Drosophila melanogaster: one gene and its partners. The protein of the gene in region 3 interacts with the protein of the main gene of each other region in a pairwise test. Each region holds a gene or a part of one and is shown on either strand. Other genes may lie near its edges.

Region 1 (5,677 bases), on a different chromosome or scaffold from region 3:
CTTAACTACCAACGTTTCAAAATGGAAAAATGCCGTGCCTCCTCTAGGATAATCATAATCGGAGCAGGAGTTTCGGGCATAGCCGCCGCCACTCGACTCCTGCAAAACAATTTCCAGAATGTTCAGATCCTGGAGGCGGAGGATCGCATTGGCGGGCGGATCAACACCGTGTATTTTGGTGACAACGTCATCGATTTGGGAGCCCAGTGGTGTCATGGAAAGCAGCAAAATTGTGTATACGACATGGTCAAGGATATGGGTATCCTGCACGAGACAGGCGACTATTACAGTCCCATAAAGAGGGTGAGATCCAACAAGGAGGTGGTTCCACATGAGTTGGCCTGCAGGATTCACGACATTGCTGTGAAGAGCATGCCGAGTGGACCTCACCCGGTTGTGGGATCCTTTGGCACCCACCTGACTCAGACCTTCTGGCGCAAGATCGAGTCCGAGCTACCCCAAGTGAATAGGGATGTGGCTAGTGAGGCCTTGAATACATTTGCGAAGCATGAAAGCTCTATTATTGGTGCGGACAATCTTTTCGAGGTCTCCGTTAGGGAACACATCGAGTACCACGAATGTGATGGCGACAAGCTGCTCCACTGGGGAACGAAGGGTTACCGGCGCTTCCTGCGGCTGCTGATGAAGGTCAGCGCGGATACGCCAGAAGAGCTGGGTCTACTGGAAGGACGTATTCAACTTGATATGAAGGTCATCAAGATTGAGTTGGCGTGCCCCCGTAAGGTAATCCTGCGCTGCCAGGATGGGGATTACTTCGAGGCGGACCACGTCATCTGCACCGTTTCCCTGGGAGTCCTGCAGGAGCAGCACGAGAAACTGTTCGTCCCGCCGCTGCCCGCAGCCAAGGTGAATGCCATTCGCAGCCTCACCCTGGGCACTGTGAACAAACTGTATTTGGAGTATGAGAAGCAACCTCTTCCTGACGGCTGGGTGGGTTTCTTCTGCTTTTGGCTGGAAGAGGATCTGATAGAGCTGCGAAAGACGGAATATTTCTGGGTGGAGGGTATAACCGGTGTACACATGATCACTTGTCAGCCCCGAATGTTGATGGCCTGGGTGAATGGTCCGCATGGACGCCACATGGAGACCCTGTCCGATGAGAAAGTCCTTGAGGGCTTGTACTGGCTTTTCCGAAAGTTCCTCACTTTCGAAATTCCGCCGCCAAAGCGTTTCGTTCGCAGCTCGTGGTTTTCGAATCCGAATTTCCGTGGCAGTTGGAGTTATCGTGGAGTTATGGCCGATGAAAGGAATACGGGCCCCTGGGATCTAGAGTCTCCTGTGTTGGGCGAAGATGGTCATTTAGGCCTCCTTTTTGCCGGAGAAGCGTCTAGCAGGAATCACTTTTCCACCGTTCACGGAGCTGTGGAGGCGGGCTATCGGGAGGCAGACCGGCTCATTGATCATTACACCTCATGCAGTGTCAGTGCCTGAAAAATATATTTTTTTATCGTACTTTTCTTTATGGTTTCTTAATAAAATTGTTCTCTTTTATAAATTAAAAAAAATTACATTGGATCCTGATATTCACATACGTACCCTCTGAGATGTTTTATGTTTCTCTTTTGACAAATCAAATAAATAATGAAGTTTGAAAAAAAATTGAGGAGGAAAGCTCTACCGTTTCTCGTTTGAAATTGGCGCCCATAAGCCGTATATCGATTATCTCCTCAGCTGTTTTTATACCATCACCAATAAGATTACAATTTTTTTTGACATAACATAACACAACATTAAAAATGCAAATAATTGGGAATTGTAGCAGTAAACTGCTCAGACACAAGTACCTGTGCCAGCCAAGGGTGTACTCTCTATACTACAGTACCCTTAAAGGTGCGTTACCTCCAGTTTCATTCAAAACCCCAGTGCCGGCTAAAGAACTCACTTTTTTCCACTTTTAGATGCGGCTAATGAGCTTCCCTTGGCAGCAGGATACCAGCCACAACCAGTGGAAAATGCTTACTGGGAGCGGGAGCATCGCCAGGCAAATTTGCCCAAGGCTTCAGCCAGCAGTTGCAAGCGGGGGACCTATCGCATGCTTCTACCGCCACCAAATGTAACCGGGAATCTACATTTGGGCCATGCACTGATGGCCACCGTGCAGGATGTGATTGCCCGCCAGCGCGAACAGCTTGGCTACCAGGTGGACTGGGTACCAGGCACAGATCACGCGGGTATCGCCACCCAGGTGGTCGTAGAGCGCACGATTGCCGCTTCTCAGGCGAAAACCCGTCATGAATTGGGACGTTCTGCTTTTCTGGACGAAGTATGGCGCTGGAAGGCGGAAAAGGGTGCTGGTATCGTACAGGATCTCCGCCAACTCGGCTGTAAACTGAATTGGCAACGAGAATACTTCACAATGGATGAGCAGCAGGCGCATGCGGTCAACGTAGCTTTCGAGCGACTCTTTGAAGAAGGCCTAATTCAGCGGCGCAACTCGGTTGTCAACTGGTGCACCGCTCTACGTTCCGCGATATCTGATATCGAGGTGGACAGTGTAGAGATCACGGAGCCGGTAGAGATATCCGTTCCAGGCTACGATCACAAAGTACTCTTTGGCAGAATGTACGATTTCGCCTATCACGTAGTGGATGGTGAAGCACTGCCCGATGGTTCGGTTGAAGAGATTGTGGTGTCTACCACTAGACCAGAGACAATTTTGGGTGATGTAGCTGTCGCAGTACATCCGCTGGATCCGCGCTACGCCAAGTACCGAAACATTGATCAGGTTAAGCTCAAGCATCCTTTCCGTGACGACACCATTCCACTCGTTTTCGATATCACCGTGGACCAGGAGTTTGGCACCGGGGCAGTGAAAATCACACCAGCCCATGACAAATTTGATTTCGAGCTGGCCACTCGCCATAAGCTTGAACCTCGCCAGGTCTTTACTGAAACGGGTCTTGTGGTGGATGCCTATTCTGAGTACAAGGGTATTCCGCGCTTCGAGGCGCGAGATCTCATCGTCAATCGCCTGGAAGAGATGGATTTGCTGCGACAGGTGCGCTCTCATACCATGCAGTTGCCCATCTGCTCGCGTTCCAAGGACGTCATAGAGTACATGATATTGCCGCAATGGTTTCTTAAGTGCAAAGACTTGGCAAAGGATGCCTTATCTGAACTTCATAGTGGACGTCTGCAAATCCTGCCTCCGAACTTCGAAACGGAGTGGGAACGCTGGCTACAGGATAGCCGCGACTGGTGCATTTCCCGGCAGTTGTGGTGGGGGCATCAGGTGCCCGCATACGAGGTCATCGACTCCCAGGGAAACAGTCAATGGGTGGCTGCCCTTGACGAGAAGACAGCTAGGCAGAAAGCCATGAGACTTATTGGTAGCGAAGAATTTACATTGAAACGTGATCCGGATGTACTGGACACTTGGTTTTCATCATCGCTGCTGCCTTTCTCCACAGCCGGTTGGCCAGAGGAGAGCTACAAAGAAAGATATCCTTTGGACATAATGCAGACTGGCCATGATATTATCTTCTTTTGGGTGGCGCGCATGATGATGTTGGGTCTGAAGCTGACCGGCGAGGCACCCTTTCAGAGAATTTTGCTAAACGGCATTGTGTGCGATGCTCATGGCCGGAAGATGTCCAAGAGTATCGGCAACATCGTGGCCCCACAGCAGGTGGTTCAGGGCGCCAGTTTAGAGGTAAGTTAGGCCATTCTTGCCAAGAATAAAATTTAACGATATATTACATCTGCAGAGCCTGAAGGCTGGCTTAGAGCAATCGTGCGAGGCGGGCATTATTACGCCTTCAGAGTTAAAGGCCTCCACGATTGGAATGACGCAAATGTTCCCCAATGGCATTCAAGAGTGCGGCACCGATGCTCTACGCTTCACCCTGATGAGCCACAACATCAAGAGTCACTTCATTAGCTTCGATGTGAACGCCTGCCACACCAATAAGCTTTTCCTAAACAAAGTATGGCAAGCTATGCGATTTACCCTCGGCTCAGCCAAGGGACTGGGAATCTCGCTGCATCAGTTTGAGACTCTTGAAGGTGTGAATCTGGGCCTTTGGGATCGCTGGATCGTCGGACGCCTCGCGGAGACCTTGTCTGTCTGCTCGCAGAGCTACAGCAACTACAATTTCCACTTGGCCACAGCAGCCCTGAAGACCTTCTTCTATCAATATCTCTGTGATACTTACTTGGTAAGTTGGTTGTCATTCAATTGTTACTCAGCATCAACAAAAGCTGCTGAAATCGACAGGAAACAACCAAACCTGCGATAGGAAATCGCAGTGCTGATGCCTACATCCATGTGGGCACCCTGACCGCTTGCCTTAGCTGGGGACTGCAGGCCATGGCCCCGTATGCTCCCTTTGTGGCTTCCGAATTACTGCAGCATGTGCCCCTTAATATAGAGCTTAAACTGTCCGACTACAAGGATGAAAAGTTGGAGGAAGAGGTCAACGAAATAGTGAACATCTGCCATAATGTGCGACAGGTTAAGAGTCGCAATGAGATTAGCAAGCGCCATCATCCGCAACTCAGTTTGTTTGCCCAGAATACGGACTCGGAAGGAGTGCTTCGTCGTCATTTGCCGCAGATCAAGGTGTTATCTCGCTGCGAAGACGTGGAACTGGAATTGTTTGACGAGAGCTCAAAGATTTCGAAGCAACTCAGCTACTTCTCAACGGCAGGAGCACTCTGCTCCTTTGGCTTGAAATTGAGCGATGGATTGGATCTGACGCCGGAAAAACGAGACGAAATGCAGAAGGCCAATGCCAAAAAACTGAAGAAGTTGGTCACCGAATTGCAGCGGTATCGCATGCGCCTGGATAACGAAGCCTTCCAACTGATGGCCGACAAGAAAGTTAAGTCACATTTCGAAAATAAGGTAATGTGCTATAAAGTTTTGATTCCATGCGACATTATTTTTATTGGTTTTTTATTGTAGGTCAAAGAGTTGGAGGCGGAAATCAACAGTCTCACTCGGCTGGCAGTATTGTCCTAATGCACTGCATAACAATTAGCTTAGATAATGCCATTGTTATTGACTTACATCCGCCTAAGTCATCTGTTTGTTTAGAATTAAAGACTGCAATATTTATTAAATGCGCAACGTACCTTATAAAGGCACTAAGCATAAAAATACTCAACTACTTGTCACTGATCTAATTCAAATATCAATTTCTGTTCGGAAAATTTAGACATTTCCGTTTTAAACCGCTAACTCTTTTGTCACCAAAACCGCAAAATACTACAGATATTTTTTTTGAATTTGTTTTAAATTCCTATTAGATCATTTTTGCTAATTGCTAAGTTCACGAAATCAAACGAATATTGGTTTAAATCGGAAATGGTTATTGTTTTTACACTTTCGTATGTTAATTAATGTTTAAATTTACCAGATGCTTCGTCCAAATTCCTCGAAAGGATCCCCAATTTCTCTTCTCCAGATATGTATCACGGTTTTTTGTTATGCTATGATTATCAAGTCTTTTATTGTATACCATATTTACAGAATTGGACACGCGTTCTGCGAATACGACAAGTAGAAGCCGCGATTCGATATGTCCATATCCTCATTACCATCGGTGACTGTGTAGACAACGAATGGCTTCGCCGATGTGGTCGTGGATACCAGACCCAATCCACAAAACCGATCGCTGGGCATCGCAACTCCGCCCTGCGTTGGCGACGGAAT
Region 2 (5,624 bases), on a different chromosome or scaffold from region 3:
AAGGGCTGCATCAGCAAGGTGGAGGTTAACCAAAGGATGATCAACATCACGCCGAACATGGTCGTTGGCGATATTTGGCAGGGCTATTGTCCCCTCAACTAATAAAGAACTTCGGAACGACTTAAGGACCTATGATTTATTTGGACAACGACTACGAAAAACTGCCAGGAAGAATCTTCTTTTGCCGACAACTGCTAATCAAAGGACAACGAACGATCAAATTTCAAACGAACAAAATCGACGGGTCATAAAAAAGTCATAAGGTCTTCAAAGTAATAGATCCTTAGCAAAGATGCCAGTCGTATATATTCCTAGTACTATAAGCCAAACTGCGTGCCAATTCTATTAAAGCCATTTACATTTATATATCCTTTTTAAAACTCCTTAAGAGAATCTTGCATTTTTGTAATTCCAATAAACCAATAAAATAAACATTTTAATGAAACTAAAACTTTTGTTTTTTTATGTCATAAGTTTTAAATGGTGTAACATACATTTTTACAATTATTGAGACTTTATTTACAAAAATATTTCAGGTTTTGTTGAATTATTCATATTATAAATGATTATATAAAATCGTATATTACTCAATAGCTGACTTTTTTTGGGGCTTTGGTTACTTAGTAAAATTAGAATGATGATTGAAGCAATACATAATTGGCTGGATAGCTTCGGATTAGTATTCGATGTCGTACAGTTCGATTAGCCGGCAGGCCAGTGGTTGTGGAAATTTCCCCAAAAAAATTAGCCAATTCTCCGCACCCGTTTGGTTCTTAAAGCCTTCGATAATCTAGAATAACAAACGAGTATTGTTGAAAGACGAAAATTAATAATTTCCGGAAATAACTTACTCTTCGAATCATCTGACGCAGATCCTGTGGAGGATTGTCCCACGAGGCAATGGCATCGCAAAAGAATAAGAAGTCGGGCACCACGCCTCCTGGATTCTCCCTGATCATATGGCACATTCCCATAAAAGACAAATACTTCTCGTCGTGGTCATATGCGTAACGCAATAACAAGCACCTTCATTTCGTGGAAGAAAGGATAATTTAAAAAATGAGCAAATGAAGCATTTAATGTGTACATACCACTGGCGTAGGAATTCGGGCAAATAGGGAGCCACTTCATCTGGACATGCATTTCCGAGGCGCCCAAGTGTTATTGCTTAAAAAAAAGAATAATAATAATAAATTACTTTAAATCAGGCCAAATTACTTACCCGCATTCCTCGAAAGATTTTTTGGAATGTCCTGCCGGTTCATCAGGATCATTAGTTCGCTAAGCAGAAGGCGTACGTACGGCTTGGTTTCCTCACCTTAGGGGCGAAATACAAAAAATCTTTTTTGTTACATTATAAGAGAACCAAGCCAACTTACCCAACTTAACGCAGATTTGCCCTATGGCCCAAACTGCATTGTTGCACACACCAACAACGCTGGGGTTTAGGTTTTGCACCAAGATCAAAATAAAGTGGGCCGTGTAGGGGTATACCTGGGAAAAACAAGCCCCGCTCAAATCACCCAGCAGGGCAAACGATGATTGGCGAACCTAATATGTATTTTAATCCCATATACACGAGTATATTAATTAGGTAAAACTTACTTCGGGCATAACGTCGCCCATGCATTGGCAGAGCAGCTGCAAAAGTTTGCTGTTGGCCACCAGTGGCTCTATGAGGCTCTGCAGCCCCTCGATCAAGCCAGACACCAGATCCAGGGCGATAACCATGCGCTCCTTGTCAGGATAATCGGTTGATTGGCTTTGTTTACACATCTTGAAAGGAGTCGAGTTCATTGATAGATTTACATTGAAGCTAACACAGTTGCTTACCATGTCCTGGTTGATAGTCTCCTCAATAATGGAGATGCCCTTTCGATACACCGAGTCGCAGTAGGGCAGAAAGGAGGACTGCAACGCAGTGGCGATGCTCGATAGGCACTCCAACAAATAGATTATATCTTTGTCGTCGTCCTTTACCAGGTTCCACTTATCCATTAGCGGAGGCATTAGGATGTCAATATATTGCGGTTTATTCAGATGATGACCGACGGACTCCGCTAAAAGACCAACGACATCGTACATTATCAGTAGATTCCTTTGGTGGTACTTGGAGAAGGCTAAGACGAACGTCTTTAGCATATTCTCCAGGTAGGGCACCAGTTGCGTGCAGGCCTCCTCCTCCAGAGCGACAAAGGCAGAGCACGCAGCTTCCTGAACGCGCTTATTGGAGTCCAGGATGCACTTCAGCAGTTCCTCGATTAGAGGCTCCAAGTACTTGTCGTGCGGCTGGTTGAGCACCCATTTGGGGAATCGCATGAACGTCCAGCATGTAATGGAGCGTACGAGTGGCTTCTTGTCAGACAGACAGGTAATTAGGTAGGGAATCAGCTCTGGTAAGTGTGGGATCAAGCCCTGCATGCAGCCCTCCGCAATAGCTCCCAAGGCCATCACACCACTTTCTTTGATCACCCATTCCTGGTGGAATAGCGCCTCCTTTAGGATGGGCAGCATAAGGGGCAGACAGACATCGCCGAAAATTTTCGAAATAATGTCGAGAGCACAAGCGCTGCACTTGCGCAAGTTCAATGCCGAATCCCACATATCGTCGTCCGAGTTTTCATCCAATTCATTACTTATACCGTGTACGCGGGACATGTGGAAACGTGGACTGATATCCTGCTGTCTATCAGGCTCCTTGTCATCTTCACCTACATCGCCCTTCAGAAGAATAATGTCCGTCTCCGTGTATTGCGTTCGGCTTACAAGAACTGGGACTAACTGGGATAGAATGGGAGAAAGTATATCCCTGCAGTTTCTCTGCTTTCCCAATGAAAGCCAAAATTCGGTGGCCTGCAGAGCCACGTTCTCATCGGCGTCCTGGGAGCGCAACAAAATGAGCTACAGAGATTTTTCATTACGTTAAAATTTAAAACTAAACCTTAACTTCATACCTCAATAATCTGCGACATGTGCGGCATCATAAGGTCTATGCGCACCCCCACCAGACCAACCAATGCGTGGCAGACGTTCATGCGAACCGCTGGGTCATTATCCGAGGGCACGTCTAAGAGGTTCTGAATGAGGCTGTCTATGTTTAGCATCAGGGCCTGTGATCTGTTGATGATGAACTGGTTGATGCAGGCAATGGCGTGGGAGCGGATCTTTGGACTGCTGTGCTTAAAGTACTCCAGGAACTTTGGAATCATTGTATTTAATGGCATATTTTCCAAAATTCCGGCAGAGTCCTCGCAAATTTTCTGCAGAGCACTGAATGCTCCTTCGCACACATTGTAGTCCTGGTTGTCGAGCATTTCGCAGAGAGATGGAAGCAGCTGCGGCCAGTTGTGCAGACCGATATTGCTGGCAATGGTGGTAATCAGAATGCCCACGGTGCCACGGATCTCGGGTGAAGAGTCGCCCACTGCCTGCAGGCACTGGTGTTTGATATACTCCAGGTGTTCCGGCTGCAGAGTGATGTCGTGCATGCGAATGTTGTTCTTGAGGATTAGGCCGCTCATGGAGCGCGTTGCCTCGTTTTCCGTCTTCAGATTCGTGAGCACATAGACGAGATAGTTGTTGAAGTCCGGGAAGCACCCGATGAGGATTGCTAAATCAGTTGGGTCTTCGGTACTTACCTCTTGCACGGCTAGCTGCGTGGCTTTACCGGGAGACTGTGAGTCCTTGAGTATCGGTAGGAGCTGCTGCAGACCTTCATCCCGTGGTGTCCATGCCATTTTGCTGCTGATGCAAAAGTTAGCCGGGTTTTGTATGATAAATGTGGGGTAAGGTCTGCCAAAGGGGGCTACCGAAGTGACAGAGAATGACACTCTGTTCTCGGCCTACTCATATCCCATACAAATCAGAAAATCCATTATCTTGATGGGTAATGTTTGTTATACATACATATTTATTCATATATATACTTTTCAATTTACACAAATCTTGATAGTTGAATTTTGAAATGGAGTTTTTAGCCAAACAAATATATAAACTCCAGAAGAATAATCTGTAATCCATATAGTTTGATGTAGGGATTATACATACATGCATGTATTTCATATATATGCGTATGTTATTTATGCATATAGGCCCGTATATATATTCAATTTCGTTAGACATTTGCAGAACATTTGATTTAGCCTAGACAGTGGTTGTAAGCTTAAACGATTAGAGATATAAACCTATCAGAGTTGAATGTTCGATGAACGAAAAGTTTTACGTGCTGTTTATGAAGATATAGATGGTAAAACAATATTTACTAGGCTTGGTCTTGATTTACTTAAAAAAAACAACGGAAGTTAAATATCATAATTGTGTAAAGTACTAAAAACAGTTGGTATGTTCTCTTCATCGATTTAATAGCATACACACGATAATATTGAAAGAAATAAGAAAAAAATTCTCTAATGCTGCACAAATAACTTTTGATTTGCTGTTTTAATTTGTTTCTTGCCCTAGCTTGACCTAACATTTAGTTTATTTGATGTTCCCTACTTTTTTTTTTGGTTTGCCCTATCGTAATGAAAAATAATATTTTAAACAAAAACCTACTCTGCATAAAATCTATAAATATATTTCATATTGCTGTATATGTGTGGTGTGTACATGTTTAATGTTGTATGTTTATGTGTAGTTGTAGTAGTGTTGATTCAGTTTTTTTGTTTTCATTTTTTTTTTCTGCTTAAACGCTAATCACTAAGATCACCCGAGAGAGATACAAACGCACGCGAACGCGACCGGATTCCGCGATGAATCCGGATTAAGGTACAACGAAATCACGATTTTTCATTTTAGTTTAGTTTCAGTTTTAGCAATTGCTATGCTTCCGCTTTAGTTAGACCGTATTATTATCAAGTTATCAAGTATTGCGATTATTATTTGGGACTCGGGGGCGAAAGTCCCTTATTGTTAGTTTTTAAATTGATTGAGTTTAACGCGACGCGAACGAACGACCCGAAGTTACTTTATTATCACACGTTCCCCCATTTTCGAAACGAAATAAAAACACAAACGTAAACACGGTTTGCATAATTACGTAATACTATTACTTAGATTTACTTACTCTTCTTACGCTTCATAATCATCCATTTATTTTGTATTTGACTGAGTTTGGTTTTCCCTAGTTTTATTTTTCGTATGTTTTAGTTGTTCCGCGACAATTTCAAAGACTTTTGTTTTCATTTAGTAGTACACTTTACACCTAATCATATAATTGTAAAAAATTTGTTCTGTACAAAGATCGTAAATTATAGAGGTTACGCAAAACACGAGTCTATACAAATGATATAAAAGTTCGAAGAAAATAATAATAGTTCATTAATTACACTTGTCCCTATACAAAAAAAAATTATATAATAATACTTTAAAAAGTGATCAGTCAATGGTTGCTTTTGTATTCAGTTAATGGAAAATAAATAAGATATTCAACAAAATCCTAATCTCAATTTTACAATGTTTCCCTATTTGCTTGCTTTTCGCTTTCACAATGCGTAAAAAAACACCTAATTTTGTATAGCATATGAATATCATTAAGTGTATCAGTAAATTTGTATCAGTAACAGTTGCAATATTATCGTTATCCTTGTATTATATCCTTTTTTCCTTTTTCTTTTGTTTTACCC
Region 3 (3,252 bases):
GTCTCCAGATTTCTGAATAAACCCATCAACGATCAGCAAATGGAGAAACTGCTAAAGCATTTGTCCTTCGCGGAAATGAAGAGTATGCAAGAAGCCTATGCCGAAACAATGATCTTATTGAGCTAAACGAATTTTCTTTTCAGAAAATCCCACCACGAATCATCTGTGGGAGTTGGCCCAAGTTCAACACGAAAATGCTGGGAAAGAAATGCACCCGTAAGAGAAAGTCCCATAGTTTTCCGAACAACCATTCACTTGTAATCCTCTAGATTCGTGAGACGTGGGGATGTCAATGGCTACAAGGACGAATTGAAGCCCGAACAAATTGAGAAGGCCAATGTCCGGATACAAGAGGTTCTTGCGAAGAACGGTGTGACTTTGGACGAACTACTGCTCCTGAAAGATCAGTAAGATACATATTGAGAATAATCAAGATAATGTTGTATCTTTTGGTTTAGCTCGGAAGTAAATAACAGCGAGAGAGGAGAGCAAATAAAGCAAGGTCAAGCTGTTTGACCTACCAAACACCTTGTTCTTCAAATGTTTATCTAAAGATTCGTTTTAATTGATATAAAATATGTAGAGTCCAATATATAAGGCACACGTAGACATAAACTAACTAACACTGAAGGCGGTACAAAAGGATTGAGTCCTAGGCGGTGGAGGTCTCCACCTTCTTGGCGTTGTCCTCCTTGGAGGAGGGACCAGTCTGTGTGATCTGCACAAGGCGTTCAGTCTGCGGAGGAGGCAGCGCCTTCATTGGCGCCTTGATGGTCAGCAGGCCATCGGAGGAGAGGGACGATGTGACCGTGTCGGGGTTGACATCACCTAGTGGAAGGATCATACACGTTTAGCATACTTCCTATTTTGTTGATGGAATTCGGACTCACTTGGCAGCTGGTAGCGTCTGGAGAACTGGCGGGAGACATATCCGTGCTCGTCCTGCTTCTCCTCATGCTTTCCCTCCACGATGACGAACTTGTCGGCCACCTTGACGGTGATCTCGGATGGCGAGAACTGCTGCACATCCAGAATGACCTCGAACTTCTCGCTGTCGATGTTGAGGGTGGAACCGGACTCCTGCTTCTGCAGGCTGTTCGTGTGCCAGGGGCGCAGGTATCCCGATCGCAGCACTGTGGGGCGGGAGTTCCACACGGAGGACATGAGGTCATCCCTCTTCAGTCCCTGACCGAAGTGCTGGTCCAAGAGGCGCGAGGTGCGCATTGGAAAGTCGAGCTCATCCCACCAGTCACGGAACATCAGTGGCACTACGGACATCTGCTTTGATCAAGAAACGAGACGATAGTGAGCTAATCACTTCACTTCTTCACTGTTCAATAAATTCCGCGTTGGCTTGGTCCTTCCTCGTACCTTTTTAGATTCAATTCACTTGGATAAACGCGTCTGCTTCGATTCGCGGCTGCTGCGATTTTGATGGAGCTCCTCGAGCACTCACACGATTTTATACCCTCAACAGATTGTTTACATCTTCCCCCACGGGCTAAAAATATGAAAATTTATTTCCCATCTAAATTTAAACGAGCGTCATTCTAGAGAACATTCTGAACCTATATATGCCAAACACATATCTTTGGTGCGAATCTGCGAGCGATTTCAGCCTGTTTTGTTTGTTACCGTGGGAGTCGTGGGATTTGAAGACTCAGACTCAGCCTGTGATTACGATGATGGTGACCCAAAGAAGATTCCATTAGTCACTGCTCAGACAGGCCTTTTTCGGAGTTCAAATGATAGTGTTTCCGATTGTTTGTTCCAGAAGCAACACACATATGTATGTATGCAGAGTATTAAAAAGCAAGCCTACACAAATTCCCGCAGTTTGTATGCAAATTCTATTCTGTATAATATTTTTTCGAAAACCGAAAATCCAAAGTGCAAAATGTGTTCTGGAAAATGCCAGAAGAATTTCTCGACACTTTTACGCCCCCTTTACTCTTTAGATATATAGGAATTTTCATAATTTTCTACCTGTTGAGAGTGTTGATTTGACGCGGCTAATATAAAAATACTTTGGCCACTAAATGACTTTATGAACTATTTTAAGCATCTGCCACTTTTTCTTATTTCTCGCTTTTCCTCTGCTGAGTCATGTCGCGTGCGTTTTCTATCAGACGAAAGAGATGACGTCGCTCAAAACAAAGGAATTTTCAAGCATTGTTTTGAAAATTATACCAGCAATTTGCTTGAATTAGTAGCTCATCAATCATAAAGTTTTACTTCTTAAAATATATCATCGCGAACATATACTATATCAAAAACAAAGTGCCGCCCTCTAGTGTTCATATCTAATTTACCAGTGATGCAAGTACAAGTTCAGCTAGTTACAAACAAGTATCTTCTTTTCATTTGCTGCACCTGTTAAAATGGTACATTTTCATACAATCTCATATATGTTTTCTGTTCCTAACATTTTAGGGACTGGCCCTGTAGTGGATTGTGTACCCAACACAGCCAAACAAACAGTGAGGCAATCACCCTTCGAAATGGGCCAAAAGCACACCAACACCAGTGCAGCAGTGCATGCACTCGATGGCTGTGTGTGCGTGTGAAAGTAGTGAAAGCTGAAAGCCGAGGGCGAACGGGGCCAATACTTATGCTTATGCAAGGCAGCCGAGATGCCGAGATGCCGACGCCACCGCCCCAAAGGGAGGCCAAAAACGGAAAACAGGCGACATTCATCGCAGGACGTGAAGTGTTCACTGTACTTTGGGAGCGGAGGATAAGTCAAGACGTCAACAGAGGAAGCTGTACGATGGTGAGCTCCAAAAATAAACAAAAATCACAGGAGTGCAACTCCTAGCTCCTAAAGGTGTTCACGAGTATGCAGTGGAAAGTAGTTGTAGTAGTGCTTTCGGAGGCACTTTGGGGTTATATGTCGGATTGGGTTTCACTTTCTTCGCTGCATTACAGTTCGCCCCCCACTCGCTGCCCGTGACGTCACGACTGTTGCTTCTGGTGGTGACACTGCTCTTCTGCCCCGTGCAGGCGCATCTCTCGAAGCGAAGCTACTCGGATCAGAGTGTCCACGGCTACATGACCGAGGTGCCCCAAAGGATAACAGGTGGTACATAGTGGCAGCGAGATAACCCTTTCGTTTCCAATGCATTCTAGCGCACCTGCTGGTGGAACGAGGTGTGTAAGGAGGAGTTCCAGAGCCTCTTCCGCTGCAAGTGCCCCCAGTTCTCCTACTGCCGGTAAGTTTCCGTTTCCGGCCGAGTGCCCGGAATGCAATGC
Region 4 (5,436 bases), on a different chromosome or scaffold from region 3:
CAGCCATGAAAGATGCAAGGCGTCTGGCCGTGGCCTACCTGCACACTCAGCTGCGATTGGAGCCCTACATTTCACCCAGTACCTCTGCCTCTGACGTGGGCTTTGTAAGGTCAACAAGCCAAAAATGCTTAAAAAATGCAACCGGCCAGGAAAGCGGCAAATGCAAAAGCAAAGTTAGGGTTAAACTCTTTTGTGGCATTAGCGAAACCAGAGAAGGGAAACTCCATCGTGTCGCGACTGAAACTTACATTGTATTTCTATTTGTGAGGCAGCGTCATTTCCGGTTTAGATCGTCCCCGGAGCCAGTGTTGCAAACATGTTAAGCAATCGCGCCAACTTTTTGGTCTTTTCGCCTCAGGGGAAAGGCAAAACTCTGCCGTGAGACGAACGGCAGCTCGTAAATTTCAAAAATTTGAAAACAACAGCGCCGGCAACATATACTTTTCGCGCGCTGGCCGAAATTATTTTAAATCACCTGCTGCCCGGCATTTATCATCAGAGCCAGTCGGACAAGTCGGACTCCCTAACGACCGCAGCCAGTCTTCAGCTCAACTCCCAGGACGACTACAACGGCAGCGAGATTTGCGAAGAGCACTTTATTTTGGCCAAGCCATTGCCACGCCTCCGTCCCCAAGCCCCCATCCACACTCCATCCACGCAGTGAAGTTTTCTCCACCTAACACCGACCCACTCATAATGTCCGCGCTTCTGATGTTATTTTGCCATTTTCGCTCTGGTTTGCGGCTGGGGGAAAACTGTTTTGTTATCACGGTGATAAATGGAAAATTATTTTGAATCGAGCAACTACTTAAAAGAATTCCCAAAGGTTGTAATAAATTTTGGGGCACACACATACACACATACATTCACGTCCGAGAAGGACATGCGAGGAAGGACAAGTTGGTAAGACCGAATCCGAGTTGAGCTGGCTTGGTAATGTCCTTCCAGATAAAAAGGTGATTGACGAAGCGAAAGCAAAAGTCATGGTCGAACTTCCACTTAGCAATGCAGTTGTCGTTCACAGAAAAGGACCAACGACGATGTCGGTGGTTGTGTTGTGTGTAGTGGTGGGCTGGATGGCGAATTTCGTCCTGGCATGCACTTAATTTGTACTGGGAGCTGGGGACCTGGGGCTCCTCCACTTGCTCTGAAGAAATACTCCAAGTTGAGCATATTCACAAAGCTTTGCAGAGCCAGGAATGCTATAGGTGCACACCGTGCCAAATTATTTCCTTACAACTTTAAAACTAAACATTTTATTATATGATACATCCTGGAATATAGCCCACATAGGTAGGAAGTAACAGCTCTTCCGGGAAAATATTATAGCTTATCAACAGTACCACTATAATTAAATAATAATAAATATGCATTAAAAATATAAATATTTTATATGTCCTGGTCACAAGAATTGATACAAAGTCGTTTGGTTTTCTTAAGTGCAGCGTCTTTGTTGGCAGGAGCAGCTACATGCACTATGGAAACCACTTCCAAACTGGGGGCCATCTCCGATCCAGGCACAAAGGCACCCGGACAGGACGAGCACACTCAGCGAGCAGCTCTAACAACATCTATTTTTATTTCATTAGGTAGAAAAATAGCCGGCAAGGTGAAGCTCCTGGCAGCTTCGCCATCAAAACAAAGCGCTGAATATTGGCCAAAACGGAATGGAACGGGGCGGGCGAAGCGGGGCTGGCCACAAAAAGAAACTGCTCTTCGCTTCTCAATTAGGTTAGCTTAATTTAAATTTGCTTCGAGTGCTTGGCAAGTGCTTGCGAGACATTAGCAGCAAATATTAGCAAACGCTTAAAGAGCGCCGTAAGTGGAAAATATCTTAGGCGAGTTTTCTTAAATTAGCCGTTGTAAACATTTGTTACGCACTCGGGTCGGGATTTAGAGTGTCTTAAATGAAAACCGGACAGTTTTTAATGAGGAAGTACGTTTGGCAGGTGCGAGATAACTAAAACATAAAACATGTTCATTGGAGTATGAAGATAGACAAACGGCACTTCCATAAATGTATTAAGGTGCACTGGAACACATGGGTTAAAACCATGTTATACTTATCGATCACTTTCAGAAACAAACTTCAAAAAAAAAGACTTTCAACGCACAAACAAACATACTCGAAAATAACTCCATATGGACTTTGAAGATGATGAGGAGGTTGTGCAACCGCACTATGCTCAGAAATTCCGGGCTCCCACCGATCCCCTCCTTCTGGCCACATATGAGCTTTTTAAGCCCTCTCATCAGACCTTGAACCTATACAGCGAACGGAATCGCGAGATTTTTGCGGAGGCCTTTATAGAGGGAAACTTGAACACTTTAGTCAATCTGAGCGTAAAGAGTCTGGCCAAGCTGGGCATTCGAGGCATATCTCCAACTTTGCAGGCGAGTCCCCAGCTTATGAGGATATTTTACGACGCACTGGATGTGGAGCTGCCTTTGAGGTATGTAACGAAACGGATACAAGTATTTTCATTACATAACCTATAATTTAACATTTGACGCCACTAACTTTATATCGTTATTTACTATGGTTACAAACCCTAATAACTTTATATATATTTCAAAGAGATTGCTATTTGATCGAGGATCAACGATTTTGGCGACGCGTCGTACTAAGCAAGACTTTGGACAAAACGTTGCACCTGAAGCGCTGGAACGAGTTCGACTGGAAGGCTGAGGGTGTGAGCCGGAAGTTTGTGGAGCAGGTTGAATCATGTCCTGTGAACGTGAAGCCGCAGAGAAGGCTGGCTCAGTTGGCTGAAATTGTTTGGCAGTATGTCAACTCCATGCACATCCGCAAGCTGCAAGCTCTGCCCGACTATGCCTTCATTAAGCACTTGGAGAGCGAGCCTGAAGAGGATATATCCTCGGAGTCATCCGACGAGGAGGAGATATCTAGCGATGAGCCGGATACGGAAATGGACGAGGGCGAGGAGGAGCACAAGTCTAGTAGTTCCAGCAGCGAGGCAGCTATTACTTTCTGGCGTGCGGAAACCGAGAACGAGGACACAATTCGCCGGAATGCGCGACATCTGCGCAACGCCAACCGCCAGCAGGCTCGGGATGCCATTGCTAGGAAACGGGAGGATCGCAAGGAGCGCAAGAGGAAGCGCCAGGAGAAACTGGACGCCTTGAAGAATGCGGATCAATCGGGCAAGAAAAAGAAGAAAAAGAAGAAGGAACCGCCCATTCGAGACGTGTTCAGCATAAACGTTGCTCCAGAAGAAGGTGATGACGAGGACACAAAACCGGACAAGCGCAACAAGCAGCTGCTGCTGGAGCGGATCAAGCGGTATGACTATCCGGAGGACCATTGTCATCACATTGATCTGGGATTTGTACGATATTTTGAAAATATGATGTCTCTGACGCTGGAGTTTTTGGGACCACCTGATGTAAAAGACTATCAAAGGTAAGCTCTTAAATTAGAATGTTATGGTAAGAAACAACATCGAAGAAGTGAAACGTGCTGTACACGATTTGTATAACATGTTTTCTCTGAGATAAATGGAACCAAATAAATACATGTGAAGTAGAGTTCTAAAAGCGCCAAGAGTCTACAGCTGCATCGCCTACCACCAGCATTTAAATTAAAATTGCTAGCTTAAACTTAACTTAACTTGTACCTTACAGCCGTTATATGAAGTTCTCAGACAGTGATATGGTTCGTCTTAGCAAAGGTCTGAAATACTTACCGAGCCTCAAGACCTTCAGGCTTCGAAACAGTCGCCTGAGTATGAAGAAGTTTCGTATCCTGACCCGTGCCCTTCAGAACTTAGACACCCTTGATGAGGTGGATTTTGGTTATGACCAAATGACGGATGAGTGCAGCGAAGGCCTGGCCTATTTGCTAAAGCGCCCTTTGATGTACCGCAGTATCCAGCTGGAACACAACAAATTGGGCGCCAATTGTGCAATTGTGCTGGGCGAGGCGTTGAGCCAATCGCAAGTGGGGGTTTTGGAGTATCTGGGCCTGGCTCACAATCCGCTTAATGAATTGGCCCTGCATTCGCTCATAACGTGTATTATCGGAACCCCCCATGTGTGGGCCCTCAACATTTCGGGGATCAACACCACCCTGGGTTCGTTTTCCCGTGATATAGGAACCCTCCTGCGCAGCCACACTCCTCTGATGAGCCTCGAAATGGCCGCCATCAACATTGGCATCTCGCAAGGGAATCAAATACTGAGATCCCTGGAAAAGAATACCCGAGTAAGTATAACATTGAATTAGGTTGGATCGCTGATAATGACCACTTTTGCGAAAGGGGTGCTGAAGATCATTTTTAACTGAGTATTGAACTTACATTCCTATCCTAAGATCCTATACGCCGACTTCCGGGAATGTGAGCTGAGCTTCGACCAGGAATTCGAAGTGGACATGATAGTGCGTCGGAATAACTACATTCATGAAAACCTCCACCACGGCGAGAATCTGTGTAAGGTGGTCAAGGAGCGCCGCCATCCGATTGTCCAGCGAATCGAGGAGGATTTCGCCCGGCGGAAGGGGTGCACGGAGGTGCGGCCGAAGTTCTCGAGCTCCAGCAAGGAATCCATTCCGGAGGTGGTCGTTGAGAAGAAGGAGGTCGAGGAGGAGGGCGACATCTGGGCAATGTTGGCTCGGTGGAACCAGCCGACAGCGCCTGAAGTGAGGGAATCGCACACTTCAAAGGATTCGCACCCCTCTCAAAATGGAAAGACAGAACCATTTGTTTTCGAACCCAACAAGTTCGATCTGGACCAGTTCCGGAAGTCTGTCTTTCTGCCAGGCCCTGGCAATCGCTTTTTCTACCTGCAAAGGAACAAAACTCCCTAATTTGTAGCCCTTTTCACCACCTACAATTGTACATTGCATAACATTGTACTCTGAGTATATTTTCAAAGCATTAAACGCACCACTTAGCAGTCCAACATAGTCCCTATCATTCTCGAGGGCTTGGAATGTCATTCGACCTAATGGTCACTTTAAACCTTCGCCATAAAGTGCCGCGCTGGCATAAACTGAGATCTAATTAAGTCGCTGGCAACGTGTTCGCCTTGGAGCCACGCCCACAATTCCGGGGGCCACACCTCGACCGAAGGTCATTGCAGAGCACAGCAAGTGCAACAAAGTTGAGCAGTTTGCATTTAAGCAGCGGAGATTTGGGCAACAGTGTCTCCAATTTAATGCCACTTCCCCTGGCTACTTCTGCCTTCCAAGCTCCACAGTCAATTCCATAAAATCGTGGGCGTACACTCGGAAAAAATAGTATAATTTCCATGTTGATAAAACAAACTAGAAAGCACTTAAAACACCAGTCCTAAAAACAGCATGTTAAATCCTTTTAACACTTTAGTTAAAAGAATTTTTCAATTCATATTACTTCATTTGAAGACTTAATTTCCAATGTTAACTAGCGGTGATTTTATTGGAAGGCTTCATTT

The links.
Region 1: the proteins of l(2)efl (region 3) and ValRS-m interact in a two-hybrid assay, tested with the Drosophila melanogaster proteins (one large-scale study listed by BioGRID).
Region 2: the proteins of l(2)efl (region 3) and CG8219 interact in a two-hybrid assay, tested with the Drosophila melanogaster proteins (one large-scale study listed by BioGRID).
Region 4: the proteins of l(2)efl (region 3) and CG15580 interact in a two-hybrid assay, tested with the Drosophila melanogaster proteins (one large-scale study listed by BioGRID).

The regions. Positions count from the first base shown.
Region 1 is NT_037436.4:8,960,707-8,966,383, reverse strand, and holds ValRS-m (Valyl-tRNA synthetase, mitochondrial), read left to right. Parts: upstream 1-1,614; 5' UTR 1,615-1,757; coding exon 1,758-1,851; intron 1,852-1,919; coding exon 1,920-3,673; intron 3,674-3,728; coding exon 3,729-4,178; intron 4,179-4,237; coding exon 4,238-4,867; intron 4,868-4,927; coding exon 4,928-4,984; 3' UTR 4,985-5,110; downstream 5,111-5,677. Other genes in the region: CG5653 (uncharacterized protein), read left to right, coding at 22-1,452; CG13313 (uncharacterized protein), read right to left, coding at 5,489-5,677.
Region 2 is NT_037436.4:6,198,653-6,204,276, reverse strand, and holds CG8219 (uncharacterized protein), read right to left. Parts: upstream 3,805-5,624; 5' UTR 3,738-3,804; coding exon 3,639-3,737; intron 3,546-3,638; coding exon 2,955-3,545; intron 2,902-2,954; coding exon 1,834-2,901; intron 1,777-1,833; coding exon 1,606-1,776; intron 1,552-1,605; coding exon 1,380-1,551; intron 1,319-1,379; coding exon 1,223-1,318; intron 1,168-1,222; coding exon 1,092-1,167; intron 1,027-1,091; coding exon 852-1,026; intron 791-851; coding exon 677-790; 3' UTR 501-676; downstream 1-500. Other genes in the region: LanA (laminin A), read left to right, coding at 1-102.
Region 3 is NT_033778.4:23,684,105-23,687,356, forward strand, and holds l(2)efl (lethal (2) essential for life), read right to left. Parts: upstream 1,440-3,252; 5' UTR 1,372-1,439; intron 1,282-1,371; exon of another isoform or gene 1,279-1,281; coding exon 891-1,278; intron 829-890; coding exon 653-828; 3' UTR 547-652; downstream 1-546. Other genes in the region: St3 (sulfotransferase 3), read left to right, coding at 1-82, 144-216, 270-407, 2,434-2,773, 2,929-3,060, 3,130-3,212. UniProt on the Drosophila melanogaster protein: Vital role in embryonic development.
Region 4 is NT_033777.3:6,054,197-6,059,632, reverse strand, and holds CG15580 (uncharacterized protein), read left to right. Parts: upstream 1-2,096; 5' UTR 2,097-2,142; coding exon 2,143-2,453; intron 2,454-2,578; coding exon 2,579-3,424; intron 3,425-3,645; coding exon 3,646-4,225; intron 4,226-4,333; coding exon 4,334-4,828; 3' UTR 4,829-4,921; downstream 4,922-5,436.